Linked DNA regions of Coturnix japonica. The protein of the gene in region 2 interacts with the protein of the main gene of each other region in a pairwise test. Links are inferred from orthologs where the notes say so. Each region holds a gene or a part of one and is shown on either strand. Other genes may lie near its edges. The genes, in order: MIIP, STK16 and KCTD14.

Region 1 (2,644 bases), on a different chromosome or scaffold from region 2:
AGCCAGGTTTGAGGTTTGGTGAACAGGATGAGTCAGCTGAGACAAGTTGAAGGAGGTCAGGTGTTTGAGTTCACAAAGTGGGAGATCAGTTTAGAAATAATAAGCCAGTGAAAGGTGGAAGAGGAGACAGCTACAAGTTTTGCTTTATTAGAAAAAACTCTTCATACGAAGCTCAAGAAATTAATTAACCTGCCAGTGCCCCCCTGTGGAGTTGTTTTTACTTAGAAAACACTGCCATACGGAGTTCTTCTATGTTCTCACAGCATTGCCTGGTTGGCTGGGAAAATACCATTCCTTCCAGTGAGCCAAAAGTCAGCAGCTTGGATCTGCGAGCTTCATTGAAAGAGAAACCTTCTCACCATTCTCACCCGGTAAGGATAGCTTGTAAACAGTCATGGAGATGTGAATTGCATGTATAGGAAGTGTTATTCTGACTCTCTTAAGAGTATGATAGTCATTGATGGCCAAGCAAATTAAAAGGCCTGGAAGATTTTTCTCATCTCTCCAAAGAATGGTTGTTCCCTGTGCATTGTGAACTAGAAGGAAAAAAAGCGAATGGAACTGGATAACGATAACATGTAAATGAAAGCCTGTTCAGCTCCCCAACTGTTCAGCAAAACAGGAGCTGTCACTTATTTGGCATTATTTGATTAATGATGTCTTCATTGCAGAACTTGGTGTCCGGAGTGTCAGGAGGAACCAGAACTGACCAGCTCTAAACCTGACCTACTCAACGCTCTTCAGATTAAGCAGTGATTCTCAGCAGAGGGATCAAAACAAACATGGACACTGCTGAGCAGCTTCACTTTTAAATCCTGTTGCCTCAACTGTGGACCACTGACTTTGTTGGACCTGGGGAAGAGAAGGGGGCGGGGAGAGGGAACAAGTTAATTGGGTTAAAAATAAATCCTCAAACAAGGAGGTATTTTCTAATTTTTGTAGTCATATGAGCAAGCAATCCACTTACTTGAATGTACTAATTCATGGCTTTTCACTTTGCACATTTTGCAGCTACTTCTAAGCAGATGCACAAGCTTTCTTACCTAAGGCTTTATAAAGAGATGTGGACTGGACAACTAGGAGGACCATAGCAATAGATGTATATGGAGTTCATCTGCCATTTCAGTTAAGCAAACCAGAAATGCAGTGTTATCTGAGAACGCCAGGGCAAGGAATTAGCTTGTGAATGGCCTTGTTCAGTGGGAAGCATACAAATATGCTTATTTTCAAACACGTTAAGCATAACAAACACAAATTGCTAATGCCTTAAACTTGAGGTACTCAACAATGTAGTTAAAAAGTCTAGTTTATCTTCAGTGCCTGTAGCTACAGGGCACATTACAGAGTAATCATAAACCTGGAAAAGCACTTTTTATGACTCAAAAGCCTAGAAAATGCCTTAAGATATTTGCAAGTTACTCTTTCCTCTATTTTTCCAAGTTATTTTTGGAGGTTAGCAAAAAAGCTTTGTGGAGAAACAGCTTAAGAACAAAAGCAACATGTTCCGTATGGTATGATTTGTTGGAACTTCATGGTACGATCTTTCCCTGTCTAAAAATGATAAAAACAGATGTCATGTTTTGTCTCCAGTAATTCTGAAAGATAAATTCCTTTCATAAGAATTCTGGAAGTTATTGTGAAATCTGGACTAGTAATTGCGTTCGTAAGCTTTAAATCAAGTTTATTGGTAGGCGCTGGCTTCACAGAAAGCTTTGGGTTTGCACCAGTATTTTCAGCTTCTTGTCATTCGGTGTTAATTAAGGTACCCAATACTTTATAAAACAAATGTATGGATAGACTTTTTTAAGCAAGGGAGCAGTGTTGCAAATGTATGAAGTCTTACTATGTGACTGGAATGGAAAGCAAATGGCACGACTGACTAGTTATGTTTTGGGTTGAATATTTAGGATAAAGTGAAAGGAATTGGTCGCATTCTTTCCCTTAAAGCACAATCCCAAGCTATCTCTCTCTTCGTAATGGTTTTTACTATGTTCATGCGTGCTCTTTCAGATGGAGCTTCCCAGAAGTACTCGGTCTCAAAGAATATCTATTGAGATAAATTGATAGAATCATCTGAGCTGTCCCATGTGCCCTTATTGCTAATAAAACTGAAAATTTCAATTTCACAGTCGGGAGAACTTCTGCTGGTTTCCATCTTTAAATACTGGGAACTTCAGTTCACTTCCTTGGCTGAAATCTTCAGGAACAGAAAATGTGGTTTGCTTATTAACTTAGAAAATGACCTCATGGCTTTACGTATTGTCTCCAGATTTGTGCAAAGTAACTTTATATCATGATCCTTTTTGCACAAGGGATCTAACCAACGTTACTCAAGTTTTCCAGAAGAGCTTAAGCAATGTACATTTTATTGCTATTCCAAGCAGTTGCTGCATCAGTTTATCATTGATAATATTCAAACACATTTTTTGTGTGGACAACTTGTTTTTTTCTTTCCATTTGCAATTGAAATCAGCAAAGGGTTTGTAAATGGAGCTTGGCTAATGTTGTTGGTATGTGGTCCAGAATTGAGATCTGATAGTGTGACAGAGAGTAAACAGTTGTTTTTTGTTTGTTGTGGTTTTTTGACTGAGACACCTGACTGTGGGTGTGTATATGGTGGCCTCATGTTCTAGTAAGAAGGTGG
Region 2 (3,288 bases):
GTAGGGCCCCGGGCGCAGGATCACCAGCAGCCCCAGCTCCGCCGCCAGGTCCAGGAAGGCTTCCACGTCCCGATCCCCGCTGAAGTCATACACTCCCGGCTGCGGCTCGTGGTAGTTCCAGGGCACGTAGCTGGGGGAGAAGGGGATGGCAACCCGAGGCGGTGCAGGCTGCGGGGTGCGGAGCTCCGCGCACAGCACCGGGCAGGAGAGGCGTGGGATGCCCCGCGTGGGTGACCCCCCAGGCTCACTTACACCTGCACGGCGTTCAGCCCGGCCATGTAGAGCCGCAGCAGGCGGTCTCGCCAGGCGGCCCGCGGGACACGGGCGTAGTGCACGCTGCCCGACACGTAGCGGAACGGGGCCCCGTCCTTGAGGAAGCAGTCCCGATCGAAATCGATCTGGAAGGAGCGCACCGGGGGGGCGGCCTGCGGGACGGCACAGAGCTGGGGGCGGCAGCACCTCTCCGAACACAGAGCGGGTCAACGGCGGGGGGGGGAAAGGGGAACGGGACCCCGACCCGCCGCCCTCCCGCACCCACCTCCGCACGCAGCAGCGCCGCCGCCAGCAGCAGCCCGAGGGCCGGCAGCGCCATGACCGCGGCTCAGCGGCCGGGGGGACGGTGCGGAACGGGCGAAGGAACCGGCACACGGCCCATAGCGCACAATGAGGGCGAGGATCCGAACGGGACCGCCCCCCGCACCGCGTTCCGCCCCTCGCGACAGGACGCGCCCACTAGAGCCAGGTCCCGCCCCGTCGGTCCCACGGGTGACGCGACGGTGACGCGCGGCGGCGGGCGATGACGCGCGTGGACGATGGGGCAGGCGCTGTGCGTCTGTTCCCGGGGCACCATCAGCGTGGGGGGGGCGCGGTACCTCCTGCTGCAGCGCCTGGCAGAGGGGTAACGGGGGGCTGGGGGGGCTGGGGTACGGGGGGAACACCGGGGGCACGAGGGATGTTGGGTATAAGGGGGTTTGGGGCACGGAATGGATGGATGGATAGGCAGGATTTGGGGAGAGATGCTCGTGGCTGGAGGGGATGTTCGGGCTCTGCTCCCCGCAGGGGCTTCAGCTACGTGGACCTGGTGGAGGGGCTGCGGGACGGGCGCTTCTACGCGCTGAAACGCATCCTGTGCCACGACAAGGAGGACCGGCAGGCGGCCCTGCGCGAGGTGGAGATGCACAACCTGTTCCAGCACCCCAACATCCTGCGCCTGGAGGCACACTGCATGGTGGAGAAGGGGGCCAAGCACGAAGCCTGGCTGCTCCTGCCCTATGTGAAGGTGAGGGGGTGGCCCCCAGCCCCATTGCCACGCAGGGTTGCGGTGAGTGCACGCTGCGTGTCTTTGCCAGGGGGGGACCCTATGGAGCGAGGTGGAAGCACTGAGGGAGAAAGGAAGCTTCATGCCGGAGCAGCGCATCCTTCTCATCCTCCATGGCATCTGCAGTGGGCTGCAGGCCATCCACAGCAAGGGCTACGCACACAGGTGGGGGCCATGGCTGGGGCTGGGGGCAGCAGGGTTCTAGTGGGCGCTTGGTGACGTCCCCCTCCCACTGCAGGGACCTGAAGCCCACCAACGTGCTGCTGGATGAGGACGACCAGCCTATTCTCATGGACCTGGGCTCCATGAACCGGGCCCGCATGGAAGTCACCAACTCTCGGGAGGCCTTGGCTGTGCAGGTGGGTGCCTGTCCTGGGGGGGTTTGAGGGGGGACATCGTCCCACTGCCCCCAGCCCTGCGTCCCCTCTGCCTCTCTGCAGGACTGGGCTGCCCAGCGCTGCACCATCTCCTACCGTGCCCCTGAGCTCTTCACGGTGCCCAGCCAGTGTGTCATTGATGAGCGCACGGATATTTGGGTGAGGACGCAGCCACTGCCCCCCCTCTTTCCCCCCATACTATGGGGTGAATGGCCACTCTAATGGCTGCTCTGCAGTCCCTAGGCTGCGTGCTGTACTGCATGATGTTCGGGGAGGGCCCCTACGATGCCATCTTCCAGAAGGGTGACAGTGTGGCCCTAGCGGTGCAGAACCCCATCACCATCCCCACAACTTCCAGGTGAGGCTCTGGAGCTGGGTGGGCCCTGTTCCCCATGGCGGGGCCATGCCGACCCCTCACTCCCCACAGGTACTCAGCCACCTTGCACCGCCTGCTCTCCTCCATGATGACAGTGAACCCCCAGGAACGGCCCAGCATTGAGGACATCCTACAGCAGCTGGAGGGGCTGCAGGCTACACCAGCCGGCCAGATCACCACGAGTATCTGAACGTGGCCCATCACTGGCCTAGGCTGTGCTGGGCTACCCTGGGCCTGCTTCCCCCTGGGGGGATTTCTGTGCCCTGGGGAGAGCTGCTCCATCCTGGAGGTGTTTTGGAGTCAGACTGTCGTTTGGGGGTGTGCAGTGCAGTGGTTTGTACCCTGAACGCTGCCGCTGGGGCCTGTGCGACCGCTGGGGTCTGCATGGCTGCTGGGGCCAAACGGGCCAGCACTAGGCTGCAGGACTGGCACACGTGCCCTGTTGCTGAGGGCAAGGCCTCGCTGCCCGCCCCGAGCCCACAGGGTGGCAGGTCTCTCCTGCCCCAAAGTATGTGCTGCTGGAACGAGGTGAGGGCAGGTGGGGCTCAGTGCCCGCTGCCTTGACACCCACGTTGCCTTGTGTTTTGAATAAAGGTGTTCTTGATGAGGTGTGCACAGTGTCCTCTGTCCTGCTGGAAATGGGGTGAGCGAGGCACGTGGCCAGGGCCAAGCAGCCAGGCACAGCCAGGCATTGCTGAAGGGGAATGGCAGGGGAGGAGAGCTCCACAGCTCCATGCAGCTGCAGCATTAGCGTTAAGCAGAGAAAGTTAATCTCTGGCTCCAGTGTGACAAATCCGTCTGTGGTTACAGCTGAGCCCTGCTGTGCAGTGCTGCTGTGCAGGCCCGCGGGGGCAGTGCAGTGCAGGAAAGGGGCTCATGCAGCATACGCTGCATAAGAAACAGGCAGAGCCCAGCACCTGGGTGCAAAGGGGCAGCAGCCCTGCTGCAGGGGGGCAAAGACAGTCTTGGGATGGCACCAGAAGCTGGAGGGGTGTAGCAGACACACAGCAGTTGTGCTGCCCGCAGCAGGGAAAGAAAGAGAAGCAGCCAAGTGGTTTCATAGGGAGTATTCCCCTCCTTTAATCCCCTCACCAAAACACAGTAGTGAAACAGCCACAGGGATTCATACCATGCCATATGCCCTTGCAATGTGCACCTTCTACACTGCAGAGCTCAGACATGACCTGACAACGCTCCGAGCACTCATCTTCCTGACT
Region 3 (3,754 bases), on a different chromosome or scaffold from region 2:
CCCAGCAGAGATCCTGGGTAGAAATTCTAGCTTAATACAAAGTAGATTTCATTCCCCTAGGGGAGAAAGCCAACTAACCTCCCAGAAACAGCACAGTGGTGGCCAAGGCCTCCTAGGGAGTGCAGAGCAAGAGCCACAATGGGGTTGTAGGAATCCCAGGACAGGGTCGCCCAAGGCTATGGAGACATCCATGCTCTTGGCTTTTCACTTCTCTCCCAAGGGAAGAATGGAATTTGAACCAGCCTGAGTTAGCTGATAGCAGCAGCATGGAGTACTGTGAGCCCTCCAGCCCCCTCCAGAGCTGTGATCTCACTTTTGCCTTTCAGTGTTTGCTTCCCACCCACTGGTTTCCTCAGCATCACTTTGACCCTGGGGTAAAAGGAGGAGAGATGAACTACAAGCGTGATTATTTCCACTTAGTGCAGGCCCAGAGGGCTTTGATGCAGAGAAGGATGACTTCCCTGCAAAACTTTCCATGGCTGGGACACCATACAGATCAGATGTGTGGTCCCAGTAATCCAGGCTGCCATCTCTGGTGTGACTGCCAAGAAGAAAGGCATAAAATCCCTGTGGGTAGGTAGTGGCATGCCAATGGCTTGGGCTGTGAGAATGCTTTTCCAAAGGTCCCTTCTTAGATCAGATGACATTTTAAATGAAACTCCTAACAAAAAGAGAGAAAAAAATTCCAACTGGGAGCAATTTGCATAGCAGGACTGAAAAATGCCATTTTCAAGCAAGTGGGATCAAGAAATCCCAGAAGCAGCCTGAATAATAACAATCAGATGGCGACTTCCAGCCAAATATCTCAAAATACCAATTCTTTTTTTCTATAGTGTGCCAACAAAAGTGTCCAGGATGTGAAAAAAAGGAGTGAGAGAGTGGGGGAACATGACCAGTATGTCCATCAGAGTGAAGAAAGGGTTGTGGTGGGCCTTATAGGGTGGAAGAGCTGTAGATGACAGCTAGCAGCTCTTTCTTGTGCTGATGTAAGGATCTGCATTGCACAGCACTGATGGTTTGTTATCAACCACCATCAGTCACCTTTGGTTTGTGGTAGAGGGCAATTGTCCACACCCCATCCATCCATCCATCCATCCATCCATCCATCCATCCATCCATCCATCCATCCATCCAGTTCTGTAGCTGCAAAAGGGAAGGTTGTTACCTCCAGCACTCAAGACGTGCTGTGTCAAAAGAGTCTGGGTTCCACTTCTGTCAGTCATGTGCAGGATAGTTTTGGATGAGGAAGATGAATGAATGGGATTTGCAGGAATTAAAGGCTAAGAACACTCAAATCTTCCAGCTTTATTCCAAACCTGCTCTGACACTGCCAGGCACAACAGTGGGATCAGTGAGATGGTTTGGGATGCTGTGTGACTAAAAGAGCAGCCTGCAGACACCAACAAGCACTGAAGGTGTTACAGGTTTTCATCCAACCCAGACAGAGGTTGTGGGCCTCCTTTGGAAGGGCTGATTCAGCTCTCAGATATCTGCAGGTGAGTGTGTGACGGCAGCCAGCCCAAATCCGCCCTGCTGCTTTGCTGATTGCTGGAAAACTAATGAGCAAACAGTTCCGCTTCCGTGCTGCTCCCTCCCCTCTGGTCAGACCTGCAGGCTGCACTGTGCTTGGGGCAATCCAGAGTTTGTGGGGCAGCAGCTGGGCAGGATCCTTACTCACCCAAGGAGAATCTGGTGGAAGAGGACTGGAACACAGCGAGGGGAGATGAGCATTTCCTCGGAGCACAAACCCCTCAGGAAACAGGTCACTGGCAGCCTGCATATGGTGAGTACGGTGCAGGCTTGGGGGCATGGCTCCTTCTTCTGGGATCAGAGCATCCCCTTTGGGTTAGTTACAGCGGTTATTTCTCACCCATCTGATACTTTGAAGGCACAGGGGCTTGCCAGGTGTGTGAGCAAGGTGCTTTTCTAGGTGAAAAGCTGTGTCTGACTCTGACCTGTTTGCACCAGCCTGGTTCCAGCAAGACTGTGTCCTTTGGAGGCACACAGAGCTACAGCAAACAACCTCGCTGGTTTCTCCTTTGAAGACTATGAAGTGAATTTGATGTTAAGTTTAATTTGCCATATCCTTAAATAAAAGCCTGTTGTGAGCTCAGGGGTTTTTCAGTGGTCTCCAACGATGAGTAACTTGCTCTGTGTTTAAGGTGTGCAGAATTACCAGCTGGGAACGGTAGTTTTTCTAGCTTTAAGGAAAATTAGTGTCAACCACAAAACAAGGGACCTGTTACTGAGGAGAAATCAGAAATCAGGCAACATTTTACTTTTCCTCCCCTGGTTCTATTAGTAACTGGTTTCCCTTGACCTTCCATCTTAAAAACAAGAGGCTCAAAAGGATAAGACCCTCCTGACAAATGATACCTAACAGGGAAAGCTGTTGTTATCACTTGGACTAATGGCAGATTTCCTAACTGAGAGGCTTTGCTATAGAAACAGCTTTGGGCCATGCTCTTTAATGGGTAGAGATCACTAGATACTGTCAGACAGAAACGTTTTATGTTCTCTTGGCCCTGGTGCAAATAACTGCCCTGGAGATGAAGCCACCTACATTAGAGCAAAGCAATATTCCATCTGGGACTTTGGCCTGAATCTCCTGTTGTGTCCCTGGCTTCCCTACATTTTGAGCTCAGAGCTGCTAAACCTTATAGCTTGCAGTCATTTAAAAGACATAATCTCCCTCTGCTCTGCTCCTATCCCCTCATTTTGCTAGCTCTGATGCTAGTTAAATCCTCTGTGAGCCACTTCAGCTTGCTAAAATGAAGGAGAAGCAGAGCTGGCACAAGGTAAGAAGTGGAGAGTGCAGCAGGAGCCTCCCCTTTGTCCTGGTGTAACAGTGAGATCAGTTCACGTCATCTCGACCCATAGGGCACCACAGGCTGGATCCAGCTAAGCTCTTTGGTACATACTGAAGCATGTGACTGGTAGCACTGAAGCAGATCATTGTATGATCAGGTCCAAGAAAGAACAGGTGAGCTCCTGGAGAAAATGGTTGTTTATTGACTCAAGCCTTCCCAGTGGCAGGTGCGGTCCTGGCCAGGCGTATGACTTGCATTACAGGACTGGCAGCGTGAGGGAAAGAACTGCCTCATTTCTTCCTTCTCCTCCTGCTCTACCAAAAAATGCAAAGGAGGCTGTTAAAACTCTTCAGCGTTGAACTGAGTCAGGAGTGTCATCAGAAGCGACACCAGATCCAGCTCTCTGGGCATTCAGGTCTCTCACGTTTCAAATAGCAATGGCATTAATGCACAGTGAAATAAAATAGAGATAAAAAGCCAAACATTAAATCTTAGTTCTTAAATCCACATCAGTTGCATAAACTATTTTGTCCCGTCCCTGAAGGTGTTGAAGGCCAGGCTAGGTAGGGTCCTGGGCAATGTGATCTAGTGCTTGACTGGCAACAAGCACTGCCTGCAGCAAGAGGAGTTGGAACACAATGACCTTTGAGGTCCCTTCCAGCCCAAGCATTCTATGATTCTATGATTTTCTTTTCCTCCTATCAAATGCACAGATAAACAGACTTTGTGCTCCACCTCAGACACCAGCAAAATGACTCCTTCCTATGTCTTAAAGGTGTGTTGAGGGTGAATCCCTTTAGGAACATCCATGCTTCTGATCTGGATACAAGGGCCAAATATAAATATCCTGAATCTGCTTTTAGCAATGCTTGGTGTGGATGTTCCCATATGTCCTCCATGGGAGGGTGGTCAGGTGCTGGAACGGGCTGCCCAGGGAGGTGGTG

The links.
Region 1: the proteins of STK16 (region 2) and MIIP interact in binary tests that used the Homo sapiens proteins (3 or more experiments, as listed by UniProt). The two-hybrid records come from large-scale screens. The link is inferred for Coturnix japonica from reciprocal best matches to the Homo sapiens genes STK16 and MIIP.
Region 3: the proteins of STK16 (region 2) and KCTD14 interact in binary tests that used the Homo sapiens proteins (3 or more experiments, as listed by UniProt). The link is inferred for Coturnix japonica from reciprocal best matches to the Homo sapiens genes STK16 and KCTD14.

The regions. Positions count from the first base shown.
Region 1 is NC_029536.1:4,771,877-4,774,520, reverse strand, and holds the end of MIIP (migration and invasion-inhibitory protein), read left to right. Parts: intron 1-263; coding exon 264-371; intron 372-671; coding exon 672-719; 3' UTR 720-2,128; downstream 2,129-2,644.
Region 2 is NC_029522.1:24,514,957-24,518,244, forward strand, and holds STK16 (serine/threonine-protein kinase 16), read left to right. Parts: upstream 1-762; 5' UTR 763-812; coding exon 813-898; intron 899-1,059; coding exon 1,060-1,279; intron 1,280-1,349; coding exon 1,350-1,483; intron 1,484-1,556; coding exon 1,557-1,677; intron 1,678-1,758; coding exon 1,759-1,854; intron 1,855-1,931; coding exon 1,932-2,053; intron 2,054-2,122; coding exon 2,123-2,261; 3' UTR 2,262-2,683; downstream 2,684-3,288. Other genes in the region: GLB1L (beta-galactosidase-1-like protein), read right to left, coding at 1-130, 253-425, 539-592. UniProt on the Homo sapiens protein: Membrane-associated protein kinase that phosphorylates on serine and threonine residues. In vitro substrates include DRG1, ENO1 and EIF4EBP1. Also autophosphorylates. May be involved in secretory vesicle trafficking or intracellular signaling.
Region 3 is NC_029516.1:172,671,943-172,675,696, forward strand, and holds the start of KCTD14 (BTB/POZ domain-containing protein KCTD14), read left to right. Parts: upstream 1-1,566; 5' UTR 1,567-1,723; coding exon 1,724-1,783; intron 1,784-3,754.